Linked DNA regions of Alligator mississippiensis. The protein of the gene in region 1 purifies or fractionates together with the protein of each later gene. This does not show direct contact. Links are inferred from orthologs where the notes say so. Each region holds a gene or a part of one and is shown on either strand. Other genes may lie near its edges.

Region 1 (9,580 bases):
AGTAGAGGAGGTTCTGGCTAGTTAGCTCTGTGGGGTAATCTTTTGCAAAAAAAGTACTGAAACACTTGAAGGAATGTCTAAAGGGGCTACAAATACAAGTTTTGTGGTGAGCATAAGATATTTGAATTGCATTTTATTTGTATGGGCAAAAGGATTCCTATTAAAAGACCCCAAGGGACACGCCTTAGCTCTTCTAACTCTAAAAGAAGACTGGAAATGAGGAAGAGCCCAGGTGTGTATTTTAGAAACAGTGTCAGAATTCTTATAGATAACTTCTTCCCTGGATGGTGGGGACTTAAACATGACCTGGTCGGGAGGACTGAGTCACAAAAGCAGCAGAATATTAGAGCTGGAGGTGTCAATTGGCAGGGGATGCCACGTGTGGGCAAAATCTGCAATACCCTGTCCAATCCAGAGGGAAGCATTGTGTGGTGAAAAGCCCCTTCTTCCAAAAACACACGTGTTCTTGCGAGGCTTATTACTGCAATGTTCCATGCGTAGTAATGCTATGTTACAAACAAATCTGGGTGCCTTGGCTTCATGCAATTGCTGAAACTGAAAACTAGGATTATAAAACTGCTGCTGTTTGCATCATTCTAGAGATGCTACAGAACTTTTCTCTTTGTCTCCCTTTCTTTTGTTTTTCCTCATGGAAGCATCATGTGTTTATGAAAGTAGGGGAAGAGAGGAAGAAAGGCATCTTTGGCTTGTACACTTAAATCATAGAAATTGAAGAGATCTACTTTCATATTAATTGTATACATTTATTGTTATCCCCTGAACACACAAGTCATTTTTACCAAAATAAGATATTGTACATGTCCCAAACAAGTACTGATTTATTGTAGTGCAGAAGCAGACAACATTTAAGTGGCATTGTGCTAGACAGATAAGACAAACCCCTAAATCAGTCTACCTCAACCCTATCCAGCGGAGAATGATCAGTTATACCTGCGTGAAAAGGATAAAATGCATACTAATATAAGTTGCATCAATTTAGGTTTTGTTTGGGTTCAATCCAGGGTTGCCGTGTGATAAAGGCTAATGTGCTGTTACTTGATCATGATTTCCATCTAGTGGCAAGGGACAGTAATAGCCTAGTACAGTTGATTCCTTCCTGTTTTTGATCCCTGTATATCACTGGTATATCAAACCGATGTAGATTATACAGGAATTTGCGTGTGCTTGTTTTCATAGCTGCAGATTAACTATGTAAAACTGAAAACAATATAATTCCTCCACTCAGCTATGCAGTTATATCCATATAAATATACTTACAGTAGTGAACCAGATTCTCGTGAGTATGGGTAAAAAACAGCATCTATTCTAACAGTCACATGATCTAACCATCAGTTTAAAAAGATGCCCCTAACCAGCCTAATTACATGGGCATAATAATTGTAACAGCAGTCCAAAGAGATTCTCATCTACATATGTAAAATTCACTTCTTAGAGGCTAAATATTAATAATATACTGATCAATGTCTTACTTACAGACTGACTGCTGTCTAAAAAGGTACAGATTTCATGGACAAGTCTTTTTCTCTGATCCTTATTCTTCCTAAAAAAAAAAAAAGTGGACATTTTAGACTGTCCATATTTTTGCAACTTATTTTGGTGTATATTAAATGTAAATCAAGCAGAACAAAAGGTAAAACCTGAGCAAGATGAAAGAGATCCTTTTAGTCAGCTTTTATGAGAAGGTACTTACAAGGTTTGCAAATAGCTTTCATTTTTCACCAGCACCTGCTCACCGTTTTCTGTATAAAACATGCAGATATTAGAGGATTACATTTTTATGAATATAATAGCTCTCTTCCAAAATGGTCATATTCAGGAATAATAATAGCAGCAGAACAAATAGCACAGAGACCCACTGCTTCTAAAGACTGTCAAAATCTGGATAGGTTGTAACTGTGCCTATTGTTCCAGGTAGGCAGACCCGGCACAACCCATAGAGATGAACAGGACTCCAGGGGGTAGATCTCTGCAGATGTGTGGATTTAAAGTACAGAATGACTAAACTAAGACCCAGCTGTATTTATAAATACTGTATCTGTTTTATGTTAATTTCTTACAGAAAGTCTATATCACAGTCCAAGGTGAGATTTCACAGCCACTGTAGACATACCAGAGAGAACTTTAAACACGGTACTGATACCGGTATAACCGTAGCAGCATAGAACTGTGCAGGCTGAAGAACCCACCAGAAAAGGGGTAAATACCCAGGTACTTAGCTTTGTACTACTGCAGGTGCCTAGTTTCAAGCCAGCATGGGTACATCTACAATCCCTTGGCCTGCAAAGCAGATGTAACTATAGCTGTCCTGCTGACTTGTGGAAACTCTTTTTGTGCACACAGACTGCATTTACTGATTAATATGCAATCGTTCCAACTCTTACTAGGGTAAATGGAGAAGTGGGTCCAAGGTTTCTAAGCACCTGGATCCTCCAAGACTGACTGTCCTCTCTAATACGGCCTCAAAAAGGAGCTTAGCTCAGCATCTTACAGAATTTGTGGCTGCGTTTTGGATAATATGGTACGATCAACTTTCCCAAATCAACAGTTGAGCCTCATTACTCTGGTGTACATAATACCTGAAAAGATAGCATTGTTGATCTTACTCCTGGCCATGTGATATACCTCTCATAAAGATATTCAAGAGTTGGCACTTACCCTGTTTTTTAAGTAATGGCATTTTGAAAGTGAAACCTGGAACACACAAAAAAACAAAACAAAAAAACCCCCAAAACAAACAAACCTAAAGATGAGCATAGACTAAACCTATTTCCTTCAGTGCATGCTACTATTTTCCTACTTTAAGCCTTCTTTTCCCGCAGTCTGTTTTTAATAGCTAAATGGAAGGAACGGTAGGAAATTTACTTTTTAAGCAGAGGGAAAGGAGAAGATGACGGGAACTTGCCCTTTAGCTCCTACCCACGTCTGGGAGGAGTGCTGCTCTCTCTCAGACCACTGGAAACAGTGACACAAAGCAGTACATCACACTAGCCTGAGACATAGCAGGATTCCTACCCAAACTGTAGCCTTTTTGCCACTATGATGATGTTTTGCACCAGCAAACGCAGCAAACGCAGCCAAGTCTCCAGTGAAACGACAGGGTCATTAGCAGTATGCAGTCACAAACGCTGCCAGTAAACCTTTCAAGTATGGATGTGGCCATAGATCAAAAATGCAATAGCAGTCGTGTACTGTAATACACTTTTCCTGGATAGATCTGAAAGCGATTAAAAAAGGAAAGCAAGCACCATGGTCCTTGTTTTACACCTGGGGGAAATTGAGCCCAAGTGACTCAGCTGTACAGTAAGCCAGTGGCACAGGCAGGATCAAGAATTGGGTCCTACTGTTTTATCCCATGGGATCCTATAATGATGCTGATTCTGCAAGCATACTTAGCTATGCGCCTAATAAAGCTAAGTATACACGTTTCTGCAGGACTGGGGGTCTGCCGTCATCTAGATATCTTATGATGTCTCAAAGTTCACAATTCCCCTGAATGCCAAAAGAAATAAATCCCCAAGATGTTACACTGTCAACAGAAGTATTAGCATCCATAAAATCCCCACGGTTCAATCTTGAACTACAGTAATTATGCAGTATAACCCTGAACTATGGTAGAGCACAGTTTGTCAGCCAGAGCGTCCATGTTTGAACCACATCCCACGCAGCGATTCCTATTTTGGTTTTTTTACACATGGTAACAACAGGATCAGCAGGATGTTAGTGCCAGGAGTCCTGCTGAGTGGGATGTTGGATGCCCTTATGGGAGGGCTCCTAGCAAACTTAATAGAGGCTGAGGGCGGCTGAGACTTCAAGGGTAGATGACAGCAGATAGCACGCACATAAATAATACACAGCCTGACCCAGCTACCCTACCCCAAGGTGGGGAGGAAGCCTGCATCTAACACTGTGCTATGAAACGTCAGAGATTCCCAAGCTGTATTTTGCACACAAAAGCCAGGTCTCACAGAGAGGACAGGCTGAACTTTTTAATGGCCAGGCACAACTTCCAGGAGGGACCTCAACCCTTCCCCTCTCCTAGCTGAGGGAGAAGGAGCCTGGGGCTCATTCCTCACCCCCAGCATCCCCCCTGGTCCAACAAGGCTTGGGACTGGAAACCCCACCCCAGCTCTCCCCTTTCTCTGCTGCAAAAAGATGTTGGGGGCTTTAAATGACCCTCCCCGCTGTATTATCCCAGCTAGGAAGACCCTGACAAACCCCCTCAGCCCTGAGGGGCTGGGGGACACCCCACAACCCTATTATTATTCAAGCCGGGAAGCTGGGAGACCCTCACAGCCTGCCTGAAGACCCTGCCGGTCACCCCAGTGAAGGGGGGTCATGTTTTTATTCCTGACAGGAAACCGGTGTGTCTTGTGGTAGGGGGGGTGAGACCCCTACAGCCCCTCCACCCTCAGACAGGAGACCCATGTGTCTTGTGGCGGTGGGGATGAGACCCCCACCCTGAGGTGTCTGCACAGAGCTCATCCCCAGGAGCGGGCGCACCCCCAGGCGCTGGAGGCGGGGGCGGGGGCGCCCCACTCCTCACCCCTCAGGGAGGAGACGAGGGCCCCGCCCCGTAACGGTCGCGCGGGGGCTGCAACCGCCCGTGGGGGGGGGGGGGGGGCAGGCTGCCTGCAACGCTTGCGAAGGGCGGACTCAATTCGGAGTCACGCCCCACCCCAACCAGCTGCGATGAGGCCCAGGCGGCCACTTCTTTCCCCACCTCGCCTCCCTCCTCAGTGACACTTGCAGAGTGCAAGGAGCCCGCATCAGAGGCTAAATAATAATAATTCGTAATAATAATAATAAAAAAAAGCAACGAGCCCGCACGTTGGGGATTTGATCTGGTGCAACATGGAGGCATAATAATAATAATAATTATTATTATTATTAAAAACGCAACGAGCCCGCACGTTGGGGATTTGATCTGGTGCAACATGGCAGCATCAGGGGCTGCAAATGATCGCTCCGTTTTGTTTTGTTTGTTTTTTTGCAAGAGAGCTATAGGAGTTTTTTTGGGTTTTTTTTTTTTTGAACCCACGAGGAAGGGCTGCCCCCGCAGGTGGTTGCAATGCTGTGCTTTGCAAAACGCCTCCTGTGCAAGACCTCCCCGCGCAGCCGCACTCGCACTCGCACGCGCAGCGAAGGGCTGTCAAGGCTGCCCGAGAGCGCGGCGCACTCAGGCCCGCCCGGCCGGCTGCAGGCAGCGGCAGCGGGAGCGGGAACGGGAACGGGAACGGGAGCGGGAGCAGGAGCAGGAGCAGGAGCAGGAGCAGGAGCAGGAGCAGGAGGCTGGGACTTGTAGTGCAACCCCGCTGCTGGCGGGCGCCGGGCTTCGGCGCGCGGACTACAGCTCCCAGGGCCGCCGCAGGAGGAAGTGAAGCCGATCAGCTGCACCGGGGAGAGGAGCTGCCTGCTGGGCTTTCACCCTTGCAGCGGGGGATCGAGTTGTCGGAGGGGTGGTGGTGGTGTGGGGAGAAGGAAAATGAACGTGGTGTTTGCAGTGAAGCAGTATGTGTCCAAGATGATCGAGGACAGCGGGCCGGGGATGAAGGTCCTCTTGATGGATAAAGAAACGGTGAGCTGGGAGTGCTGGCGGCGCTTCTGCCCTTCCTGAATTGCGGGCTGCGGTTTGCAGAGGGGTTTTTTTTTCTCCACAGCTCCCCTGTGGCTCAGCATCCCGGCTGCCCCTGCCTGAGAAGCAGGGGGACGACTATACTGTCAGAAGGCAGTTTTTCCTGAACTGCTGTTCTGGTGTGGTTTGCTGCCCGCTTGATGGAAATGGGAGTCTCCTCCCTTGCTTGCTTCGAGGGCCTTCTGGCTGAGGGCAAGCAAAACTCGGGGGGCATCCGAACCCTGAGCCTCCGGGGTTGGGCCTGCAAGTAGGATGCCTGCCAAAGGTTTTGGAAACATCTGAAGGCCTAGGAGGATATTTGCCAGTAGTAGCACCACTTATAGTTCTGGAGGCTTGGATTGGGAATTTAGTTTTAGCTAATTTGGCCTTGGGTTGTTTTTTTTAAATTTAATTTGTATCCAACTGTATTATGCTTTCCTTCCTCTCTAATCTTTGGTCTTTTCGGGTGCAGACAGAAGTGCAGCTCTCCTACTTTTCAAGTGCAATATCCCTTCTTCAAGGAGGGAATGGGGTGGGGGGGGACATTTTGCTGGGTCTTTGAGTTGCTGAGGCTACAGACTGCTAGAATAAATGAGAAGGGCTGAGGTGCAAGCAGTTTTATGTTCGCTTTGGAGGGAGATGAAGATCAGGTGAGCATGCAGTGGATGTGGATGCATGTGTTATGCCTTTCTTCACATCCCAATAGATTTGCTACTAAGCTTAATAGGGTCTATTATCGTGAGCTATAAATTCAGCTGAGGCTATATCTTGCACTGAGGCTTCTGGGTTAAAAATACAATTAAAGTGAACCTTACAATTTCCCCATAGAAAACTATGGCCCAGGAATTAAAACTATGTGAAGCAAATCTTTGGCAAGGCCTGGAAGTAAAATCAGGAGGCCTGACTCCCAGTCCTTTATGTTTTAGCCATTAGACACCATTCCTTCGTCTCATCTAGTATGTCATCAGATGGTACCGGTGAGTTGAAATAACGGCTGCTTTCTTTTGCTGCAGACCAGTATTGTAAGCATGGTGTACACCCAGTCAGAGATCCTGCAGAAAGAAGTTTACCTCTTTGAGCGCATTGATTCTTCGAACAGAGAGACCATGAAACACTTGAAAGCAATCTGTTTCTTACGACCCACGAAGGTAAGGCAGTTCCGTCTCCGTGTTTGATCTCTCCAGCTTCTTGATTTCAGCTGAGTGGATCGTGCACGTGTCATATAACACCTCAATCCTGTAAATATTTAGTCACGTGCTTGTCTGCCTATTTCTGAGCCTAAGCTCTCAATTTCAAGTCCATAACATCAGCACAGGGGCATATGCTTGCAGGGTGAGGGTATTAGTTTGCTCATCTGCAAACTTTGCCTTGTCCACTATTTTGGAGATGGCAATCTTCTGTATTTTTCTTTTTTTTCTCTCTCATTTATGTTATAAAGTGTGCCCAAGTAGGTTGTATATCCAGGTGGATACTTTTTTGTGATGGTTTTATAAGAGTGGTGTGCTCTATGGTGCCTGCTTATGAGAGGGTAGGGGGAATTTGTTAAAACTGTTGGGATTATATCAAGAAGGTCACCAAGAATTCCTCATAACTACAGAGAAATGCAAACCTCTAGAACTCTTGGTTCAGAGATGATACCTTTTATTAGACCAACCTTATATCTACAGAGTTTGCTACGTTTTTAGTTTAACTAGTCATCGTACCCATGACTGGGCAGTGGACATTGAGGGCTACAGGCTGTACAGACAGGACGGGGGGGTGGGGGGGGGGTGGTGAAGGGCGTTGTGTTGGCAAATAAAAATGTAGGGTTCTGGACTATCCCAGGGATTGACACGACACCTCGTTGGATGAGTGACAGAATGGCTTTATTTACTACTAGTATTTAAAATCAAGTCGAGTGAGCCCAAACCAAATCAAAGTCCAGTAATTAGCTATAAGGTGATGATTTCTTACCAAACGGGTGATGAAGAGGCGGTCTGTTTCTCTTCAACTTCTCGAGTAAGTCGGGCGTATCAGCAACTGGTGTCAGAGATTTCGCACTCTTGAAGTGCGCATGCTGTTTGCTGTTTTACTGCCTTTTTATACCCTTGCTTTAGCATCTTCAAAGCATTCTTTTAGTTGTGTAAATCAAGAGAGTCCCAGGCAGTAATTGACAGGAAAAACCTGCTCATTACTGGTTATCAGAAATTCCTAATTTGAATGAGTTGCCTTCTTCAGTAACAAGAAGTTATCCAGTTTGAAATTTATCAAGAAACTGATTAACAGCCAGGAAAAACATACTAAATCAGGAGGAGACATCTATTGCATATGGGGAATGTCTCTTCCTGCACATAAACACGAGTTAGTCGCAAAAGAAATATTTACCATACTAATTAATCAAGGATAGACATTTCATATGGTTACACACCAGACAACTAAGAGTCTGCTTGAAATTACCTTGAATATAGCAAGATAAGCTGGAAGAGTTGCTTCGTTATTCCTTCTTAGATGGCCTAGCCATGAACTTGCATCCTCTTGCAATATGCATTTAGTATTATTATTCTGTATTTTAACTTTTGTGAGTAGGCCCAAGCTTAGCACAAGTTTCAGAGTCATCAGTTGCTCTCTATGTTAAGGAGCAATATACATCTTCCGTAGTTAACTTGGGCCAGGAAGAAGGGCAAATTGAGGTACTATGGGTCAGGTTACAGGGGGGTCAGGGTGAAAGGGACATGGTAGTGGGGGGTCTACTACAGACCCCCACACCAGGGGGATGAGCTAGGCCTAGAATTCTCAAGATGGCTCTTAGAGGCAGCACGCTCAAAGAACCTGGTTGTCATGGGTGACTTTTAACTTCCCAGACATCTGCTGGGAGAAATAGGCAGCCAGGTCTGCCCATTCACAAAAGTTTCTAACCTTCTTACAGGACCTTCACCTATTGCAGGAGGTACGTGTTCCCACTAGGGGAAATGCCTTACTAGACTTGGTACTGGCCACAGGGGACAACTTGGTGGGGGATCTGCAGGTGCAAGGTAACTTAGTGACCACCTAAGGATAGTGACCACCTATTGATAGGGTGGCACAAGTTTTGTCTGTCAGCAGCAAGGGGTGCAGGGCCCCAGAACCCCTGCACCAATCTCCTCGACAGCTGGCAGGCTTCATGGCTGCAGCAGGGGCCACCATCCCTGCAGCTGTCACCCCGCTGTGCCTTAACGCATACAGTGTCACCCATGGCATGAGTTTTGCTTGTCCACAGCTTGAGGGGCAGTTTCCCTCAAACCCCTGCACCGATCTTCTTGAAACCTGGCAGGCTTTGTGGCCTCAGCAAGAGCTACCAGCTCTGCAGTTTTGACCTCCCCTGTGTTGTAACACATACATGTGAAAGGAGTTTTGCTTTCAAGAATTTGGGGTACAGTTTCCCCCCCCCCAAACCCTTGCACTGGTCTCGAAACTTGGCAGGCTTCATGCTCTCTGCAGATTCTACCACCCCTGAAAATTTCATCCAAATCGGACAAAAAAACCCAACGTTATAGATATTTTATTGTTTCCCAGTCCTCCCTGACCTTAGGCCTGGCAGTGTTTCTCCTGAGTCCATCTGGAATCCTGGTCGGGGAGTCCTGGTCCCTGCAGAGGAAAATGGAGGCAAAGAATTTGTTAAAGAGGTCTGCTTTCTCCTCTGGTGCAACCACCAGATTGCCAAGCATATCCTGCAGGGGCCTCACATTACCCAGTGCATTCTTCATTCTCCCTATATATTTAAAAAAGGACTTTTTATTATCTTTCTTAGCTGTGTGCATGGTGGAGAGGGAGGGAAAGAGGAAGCTTGGGGGGTGGGAAGAGACCTCTGAACCTTAGCAGATTCTGAAGCCAGAAAACAAATAAAAACCCTGAATTTGCGATTTAAAAAAAATATCACAAAGTATTTAATCCTATATTGTGATATATTTATATACTTGGAACTGGCAACGC
Region 2 (8,752 bases), on another chromosome or scaffold:
GGATGATGTATTTTTCATATAATACCAGTCTTCTGCAATATAACAAAGTGGGGTTCCACAACGTTTTGCAGTAAAGGCTACATTATTCAGCCTTCTGCACAGAGGGCTTTTTTGTTAAGAGTATGACACAAGGTAAGAAAACCTGCTTTACTGTAACAAATGCCTTGTACTATACAAAACTGATGAAGCCTCTTTGGGTCAAGAAACAGGTGCATGAAAAAGCCCCTTTCCCTTTTCTGCTGTACACCAGAGATTACACAATGTTTTCCTAAAGTGGACCTCAGCCTCAAAGAGAGAATGCGACACTGATATATAATAATCACACAGCAAAGGTAGTCTCATTGAAGTCAGGCTTGGGAGTAAAGATATCATAAAAAGCTGAGAAATTCTCTCTTCTCATGGACCACTTGTGATTTCAATCATGACAGCAGCCTCTCTCTCCTCATTCCAAATCAAGTAGGCTGCTTACAGACATTAAAGAAAAGAAAACAAAACAAAACGGGGGGGGTTACTTTAAACTCTATGCGCCCCCATGCCGAGCCCAGCACATGCCCAGAAAAGGCATCATATTAGCTGATGGGCAAGCCAGGTGCAACTATATAGATCGGGCACTTTAGTAGGGCTTTTTGGTGCTTTTACCTAATAGCTGATTGAATCAGCTTTAGAAAGAAGCACCAAAAAGCCCTGCTGAAGTGCCCAATCTATACACATGCTGCAGAGCTAAGTCGAAATAACTGCCTCTTGTGGTAAACCAAGTTTTTGGGAGCTTTTTTCCACATCTGTCAGCACCCATAATGTCTCTGTGGAAACCACACCAAGTACTGACAAAGTAAAACAATATTAAGAATATATTCTTCAGCAGTTTATTGTGTAAAAGTAAGTGATATCTCCTTAGCACCAGCCTATTCTCCACAACCAACAGGAAACGTTTCACAGACAACAGGCTTTAAAAATCAGCTTTGCACACTGACAGTATCAGGGAGACCCTTGCCTCCTGGAGGGCAAGGGTCTCCCTGATACTGTCAGTGTGCAAAGTATCAGGAGTTTGCACACAAAAACTCAAGGAGTTTTGTTTTCTGAAGTGTTAACATATACAAGAACCTAGAAATAACAAACATCTGGAGCTTAATGCTGCCAGGTTCCTGGCTACCACAGCTCCTTGAAGCCAATGAAAGTGGAGGGTGCTAGTTTTCTTGCTGGAAGCACTCAGAACCTCACAGAAGCTTGTTTGTTATTATAGGGGAGAGGAAGCAAGGTTGAAAGTTGTCCTTATGTGACACTGACAGACCCATGAGGGATCCCCACACTCCTTACTTGTCACTGTCCCACATTCAAAATTCCCAGCAAGGATATTCCCTCCAATTCAGACAATATCTTAATCATCCGGAAGTTCTCAGAATTGTTAAGTGAACCAGAGAAATAAGGATGTAAATGGCAGCAGGAGCTACGTATTTCCAATATGTTGCTCCTCTCAAGTTTATTTTTGGTTTGTTTGTTTTTTCAGTCTAAAGCCAAGAGAGTCACATGGCATTAACGCGGCTCAGGTAAGAGTCTTCTGTCTTACCAACCTGCAATTAGACACAGTGATGTCAGCAAGAAATTGCTTAAAATACTTCTGACGTGCAACGTGAATGCTACATTTATTATAAAAGCCATCTTGTTGGTTTTTATGCTAGGATGAGTTTTACTGGACGTGGTTTGAATAAGACTGCCAGGAAAGCCAGGAAATAAAAACATCTTTCAAAAATGTAGATTTCAAGCTGCTATTTTTTTTTTAATACAGTTACAGCATGAAATTCTAAATTAAAGGCCGTGGTAGAATCCAACACTGAGGTGTTTGATATCAAAGTGTTGAGGGGGCTCGCAAAATCTAATCATTTTCTCTCTTAAAACAGGGAAAATGATATTGGTTCTTTGGTATGAATATTCGATTGCAGACTCTGCAATTAAGGTATTATAGCGTTGTTTTAGCCCACAAGAAACAGAGAGAAAAACTGACCTGTATGTGTTACTTAATCAAGAAGACAGATCTACTGAAAAAGCTAAGTAGCAGCCAAAAGTGGCGAAAAGTAAATTAGATTTATAAAAATGTAACTGTAATAAGCTTATTAAAAAGCAGAACAAGTGAGGACTTTTTAAAGAGTAAAAAAAATTAAATACATATCAGTGTCAAAGTGCCCTTTTGACAGGTCCTCATAATTATATTAAAAAAGCAGTAAATATTCAAGATCAAGGAAAAACAGCTAAGCCTCTTTCTAGGAAAACGCACAAAACAAAATAACTGTTTCTGCATATTTTATCTAAATTTAACAGCATATATGCAAGGAAGCTATGAACTGAATCTTTTGCCGTCTCCAAATAGAAAACCTTTTACCATCTCCAACTAAAAAAAGTGTTCTAAACTTTGCAGAAGTGTGGTATAAACCCAGACAAATTACGCAGCAACAAAGGGGCTGGTAACTGATCAGTACAAGCTTCCCCACCTTCTAGTCAATTGACAAATTCATAGACTAGTCTTCAATCCACACCCCGGGAATTTACATAGATAACTCCTATTATATACACAGGTAACTCCTATTAGCGCAAACACCAATTCTCTCTTTACTGAGATTAATCACAAAAAACAAAAGGCCAGTATATTTCCATTTTGAAAATATAATACAGTATATTCAAAATGGAAATACTGGCCTTTGTGACTGAAGTCAGTAAAGAGAGAATTGTTCGCACTAATAGGAGTTATCAATGTATATAATAGGAGTTATCTATGCAAATTCCCTGGGTGTCAATTGAAGACTAGCCTATGAATTTGTCAGTTGACTAGAAGGTGGGGAAGCTTGTCCTTGAAGAGAGAATTGGTGTTTGCACTAATGGGAGTTATTTATGTATATAATAGGAGCTACTTATATATGTAGTTCAGTATCTGAGAAGTCTAGTGATTTATTTAGGTGCCTAACTTCAGCCAACATGTTAGTAAACAACAACAAAAAGCTTTTCCTTAAAAATCAGCAACTCTACAGCAATTTTTTGGCCTCCCCACTCACACAAAAAATGAGCTCTCCCTCCCCCTCCTAACTCATTTTAATCAGTATTTTAGCCATTTGAAACTTCAGGCTCTTTTTCAGCGTCTGTAACACAACCGTTTGTCATTGCACGGAGTTTTACCCAAGAGCCGGACGTAGCGAAGCACTCGTCAACCGCCTCTTACTTTTGAGCTGCCCCTTGACGTCCCGGTCTTCACTCGAGTGCTCCTCTTCGTAGTGCGACTGAAGCTGATAGAAGGACTGAAGATCCTTCAGGCACAGTGGGCACAGGAAGCCCTCTCGCACCTCCCCGGGGTCATCGAACGGCGGCGGGTAGCTCGATGCCATGACGGCTCGACGGGTCTCAGCGGCACCCGACCAGGCCCGTGCTCTTCAGCGGCATCGCACCCGGGCGGGGTGCAGCATCGTCCGTGGTGCCTGGGAAGAGACCCGCGGAGCAGTTATTGTGCCCCCCACAAATGGCTGAACCAGTCACCCTCTCCCATCTGAATAGCCCGGCTGCAGCTTACAGCCAGGACCTCCCGGAGACCAGAGGCAGCCCCACAGCCGACGCGGACCTCCCGGACAGCGGCACCTTCTTCGTGCCCCCTCGAAGGTGCCAAACACGTGACTCGTCTCAGGGGGGCCAAACCTTTGCCCCCCGTGCTGGGCCCAGCCTAAACCCCAGGGGGAGGGGTCCTGCATGGGGGAGGGGCAGCGGAGCCGCCCCCACGTGCCCCCGGCCTCGCTTCTCGGCCCAGCCCCACCCCGGGATGAGGCACGGCCTGTCCGGGCCCCGACCAGCACCTCCCCCGCCCGCTGCGGGCGCCTCATGGCGCCGCCTGTGAGGAAACCCTCCCCTCCCCCCGGCCTGCGGGGGCCACTCACCTCCGGGCCCAGCGAGCGCTGCGGGGAGCGGCGCGCCGAGCCAGCGATAGCACAGCCGAGAGGGCGGGGCCGAGCGCAGGGCGCGCCGCCGAGCGCCGAGCGATGGATGGGCGCGCGGGGCATGCTGGGAAAGGGGCGCGAGGCCACGCCCCGGTGCGGGCGGCCCGGCCTGAGAGGCGCCGCCTGGGCCCTTCCCGCCCACGGGGCCCAGCGCCGCAGGGAGATTGGCCACAGAAGCCCACCCCCACCTCAGCCAGCTGGGCCCAGTGTCAGGCCAGGGGGCAGATCCATACGTCTCCAGTGGCTTCTTTCCTCCTCGAGGAACCGCTGCGTTGCGGAGGGCTGGCTCGCTTCACGCCTGGCGTTTGCGCGAGGCGGTTGAGCGCGCCCACCTGCGGCAAAGGTGGACGCGGCGGCACGAGGCGGCCGGTAGATGCAATTGCGTGCCGGGTGCTTCCAGCGAAGAAGACCCGGAGAATTGGGCCTACCACGTGTAGCGGAGTTGGCTTGCCTGCCACCGCCTCGCATATAACATGAGTGTATATGTGCACGTGCTCCTGTGAGACGGATTTCCAGATCGTAGCCTGTTTGGAGTGGGTTTCAAGCCGTGGGACCGTGTGTTTTAGGCCCAACCCTTCCATTGGCTGCCAGCGATAATTCTGCAGTTCGCAGCCACGCACCTGAGCATGCTGGGAACAGACCGGAGGTTTCTAATACGCCCGACAGGTTTCGTTCTCAGAGCCCCCCCACAAAGTTGTATGTTTGGCCCTGCTCTCTCTAGCGTAGATCCCACTTTGTTCCTCAAGGTAGGAGCATCATGTCTCCCTAGTGATACAGTTATTGCTTTATTTCACCTGGAAGAGGCCTGTGTTGTACTACTGCATATTACCTAGACCAGCGGTTCCCAAACTGACAGATTGCATGCGGCCAATTTAAAACGATACAACATGAAGTACCACCAGCAAATTTTTGTCATATAAAGTAATTATAATCAATCTGTTAACGTACCACTGAGAGGTTGTCTGCATACCACTTAGGGTGGCCATCATAGAGGACATTCTGGTTTTCTGCTACTCTGTCCTCTTTGGTACAAAGCCCGACACCTTTATGTTCTCTATTTTTCTTTTCAAGAAAAATAGAAAAATAAAAAAATATTTTTCTCTTCAAGAAAAATAGAGGACATAAAGGCATCGGGTTTCGTCTCAATAGAGGACAGAGGACAACCAGACTGTCCTCTGTGATGACCACCCTAGTACCTCTGATGGTACGTGTACCACAGATTGGGAACCGCTGATCTAGACCAATGATTCCCAGCTTTTTTAGGCTCAAGGCACCCCTCATTAGACTCAAAGCTTCTTTAATTGTTATGAGTTGAGCAGCACCCTATTTCAAAAACTAACTTATTTATTCCTTGCAGAGGAGCTGAGTAGGGACAAAGGAGTGTGGCCAAGCAGGGGTAAGCCTGGGCTTGTGCTTATCTACTAATCTCACACCTCCTACACCCATCAAAGAATTGAAAGAATCTCACCCTGGTTAAGAATAAATGACCTAGACATATGACCCCTTCTTACATTATTAGTACTTAATAAGAAATAGGATGTTTCTGGGCACTGCTATGAACAGTCTTTTTATCTGAGGGTCAGTCATTTAAAACCACTTCAGCTCCCAACAGGAGTTAAGGGTTATTATTTTCCAAGGTACAAAGGGTTAAGTGCCTACCTCCCCTTTGACTTAAAATTCTTCCCAGGTAAGTGGTATTTGGTGGCCTCACGTGAGATTAATTTGATGGGTCTTATTTTCACCTAGCTCACTACCGCAGTTTCCACTAATTAGCAAACTTGGTAAAGGCCAAGAACTGGGTGCTCCGCATGACCTGTAATACTTCTGATATATCAGAGGAATTCTGTATTGTACCAGTCTGCTTATTTTTGTTCTACTTGACCCATGCAGAGCTCAGTGTTCACATCTTACCGTTCCAGCTCTTTCATTTTTTTTAAAGCCAAGAAGAACAATTAGTCCATGTTAGAAACTAACCTGGTATCAAATTTTGGTATCTGTTCTGCAGTCTGATCCAGGTGGGCAACCCACACTACATTATCGTTTTCATCACCTTTTGCATCACACTGAATTTGGCCCATTTTGCTGTTACATAACTGCAATCTTACAGAAGCATAAGGGGGAAATAAAGGCTCAGAACTGACCTGATTTAGTCACAGGAATAATTGAATGTTATAAATAACCAAAGGAGCTGAATTTTTAAATAACCAATTTGAGTTGGATCCATTACTCTCTACTTCTCAAAACAATGCAGTCTTGGTTCAATTACTTGCAGAGAGAACCAGGCAGCTATGAAAAAGAATGTAGAATCCCACTTATAATCACTTCCCTCTTTAACATGGAAAATGCAGGCTCAAGACCAATTTGCTGTTAAAAGCAGAGATGACTTTTATGATGCTGTAAAGGAAAAAATTCCCCTCTTATGATACTGCAGCTCTGATGCTATTAACAAATTGTATTGTATATAATAAACCATTAGTGTATTTAAAAGGTGTATTTGATTTCTTCTTTACATTAACAGAGCATATTGATCAAAAAGTTTTACGAACACGAATAGTGGGGTTTTTTTTAAATAATGCTATTGATTTAATTTCAAAACATAAGAATGTCCTCAGCCCATAAAGACAGAGAAGAAAGAGAATGTTAATTGCTGCACTGTACCAAGGCAGTACAATTGGCTTAAGTATAAGGTAATGCTTATCTATACTGCTGCTGGTATCCATGGTCATCTATATAAGTGCTTTTAGGATATCTTTTCCTGGGGTTTATGTAAGGAAAATGGTGATATGTAAAAGGGATTCAGTCTGAGGAATGTGTTAATAAACTTGTGGCTCACATTATTATTAGATGAGATAACCTGGTTATTTCTTTTTCAGTGTGACAAATGAGTAGATTTTTTTTTGAATGACATGTTGTATAAAGCCATCAAGATGCGCATATGCTTTAGAACCCCAACCCTGGCCACTGATCCTATGCTTGCAGTACCCTGTACCTATGAGTTATCTCACTGAAACCAACTGGGTTCTTCTTGCATAGATTTATGGCTAATATCTGGATGTGAATGAATACACAGCTGACTTTCCCCTTCTTCCATTTCCTGACACTTGTCTGACCTCATTTACTACATCACTTCTCTAGTAAGCACCATTCCCTGTGAATAATTAGGGGTGTGAGTCATGATTGCAGGTTTGGGCTCTCAGGCTTTAGTCCTGTGGTTTGTTCTCTCTGGGAGTGCTCAGCTAGTGTTGAAGTTGCAGGGTAAGGCTTTGTCTCTATAAGGGAAAAGCCTAGAATAACTAATATGGAAGAGTAGCAACATCACATTAGCTCCTTGTGTGAGTGCTCTTATTCTACACTAAGAATACCATGCAAAGAAACTCCAGTTTGGAGGTAACCTGTTTGGAGTAGTTATTACTTGGACACTGCCTTGCTAGTTCTCACTAACTTCTGTGGCATTCCCTGGCTTGACAAGCCCTCATGTTGCAAGTCCTTTAGTGTGGCATCAGGTCTTGTCTCTAATGCATGTGATACAATCTCAAAACAGTGCTGGAAAATGTTCACAGAAGTGGCATGATGGCTGTCCCACAGACAACTGTCAACAAGCCAGTGGGGTTGAGGGTATGCATTTGACTTCACCAGAGACAGATCTGAGAGAGAAATCATAGTTTAATTACTATAAATGGTCTAGCAAGGTAGGGTGGGTTTGATTAACAAGAGAGTAGACTTGATATGCAACATTTATCCTGGATTGTACGACACATTTAAACAGACAGTGTGAGTCCCTGAGCCAGGGAGTAATGTTCTTTGTAAATGCAGATAACAGTTTTCAGGCAAGTACTCTCTGCTACAACTAGAATTGTTTGTTCCCACTGTGATGACTGCATGACATAGACCTCACGTAAAGGGGGATTCTCTGCTTTCCTTAATGGAACTCTCATTAGTCCCTACAGTAAGTACATCAAGTACATCATGTGGAATAGGAACACTCATGCTGCAAAAAGTGTTGTTCTTGCTTCTTGCAACACATCCTGGATTTCCCACACCCAGGTTCTTTGTAAACAGGGACCTCTTTACTGCATGCAAATGTCAAAGGGCTGTGATACAGGGGACTGTGCTCACAGTGAAGCATATGCACATGGGGACAAGCCCTGTGTCCAGCAGGGCTTTCCTGCACAGCCTGGGACTGGCCAGGACCTGTCCCGGTCTGGGGCAGGTCCCAGCCATCTCCGGGCTACATAGAGACTGCTCTGCGCAGCCTGGAGCTGGCTGGGATCTGCCCTTCCTCCGCAGGTGCTTCCCAGCCCTGTGCTTCAATTGGGAGAATAGGGCAGGAGGCTGCTGGTGAAGCAGTGTTAAGCTGCTCCTGTTAAGAGTCCCCCCCCCCACAGCTGTTTCCCAGCTCTGTGCCCAAATCGCTAGAATAGTCTACTGTGCAATAAACATCTTGTGTAGACACACCCACAGAGAAGTAAATAACAGGAAGTCATGGGCCAGACTCTCAGTAGATGTAAATTAGCATGGGTCCAATAGGCTGTACATTGATTTACACTAGCTCCCAATTTAGGCCTCAGTTTCCATTTTAGCTCCTCTCAGACTGTCTGTGTCTGGAATGATGCCCAGGCTGAAGTTTAAAATCATTTTGACAGATACCAGTGGTATCGTCTAGACCTTTCTCTCCTATCCTAGGATGTTTTTTTTTCATACTAAGTATTGAGCTCATTTTATCTTTTGCAGCATCTGAGAAAAGTACCTCTGTAGCAGCTTCTTTGAACATATTTATGTTCAGT

The links.
Region 2: the proteins of VPS45 (region 1) and RBSN purify together in Homo sapiens (affinity purification with mass spectrometry; 4 studies listed by BioGRID and IntAct, counting the BioPlex papers as one, with this or other methods). This does not show direct contact. The link is inferred for Alligator mississippiensis from reciprocal best matches to the Homo sapiens genes VPS45 and RBSN.

What each region holds. Positions count from the first base shown.
Region 1 is NC_081838.1:18,213,889-18,223,468, forward strand, and holds the start of VPS45 (vacuolar protein sorting-associated protein 45), read left to right. Parts: upstream 1-5,318; 5' UTR 5,319-5,503; coding exon 5,504-5,596; intron 5,597-6,645; coding exon 6,646-6,780; intron 6,781-9,580. Other genes in the region: uncharacterized protein LOC109282924, read right to left, coding at 1,495-1,561, 1,712-1,760, 2,677-2,712, 4,313-4,358. UniProt on the Homo sapiens protein: May play a role in vesicle-mediated protein trafficking from the Golgi stack through the trans-Golgi network.
Region 2 is NC_081835.1:15,632,122-15,640,873, reverse strand, and holds the start of RBSN (rabenosyn-5), read right to left. Parts: upstream 4,012-8,752; 5' UTR 3,909-4,011; intron 3,459-3,908; 5' UTR 3,369-3,458; coding exon 3,206-3,368; intron 1-3,205. UniProt on the Homo sapiens protein: Rab4/Rab5 effector protein acting in early endocytic membrane fusion and membrane trafficking of recycling endosomes. Required for endosome fusion either homotypically or with clathrin coated vesicles.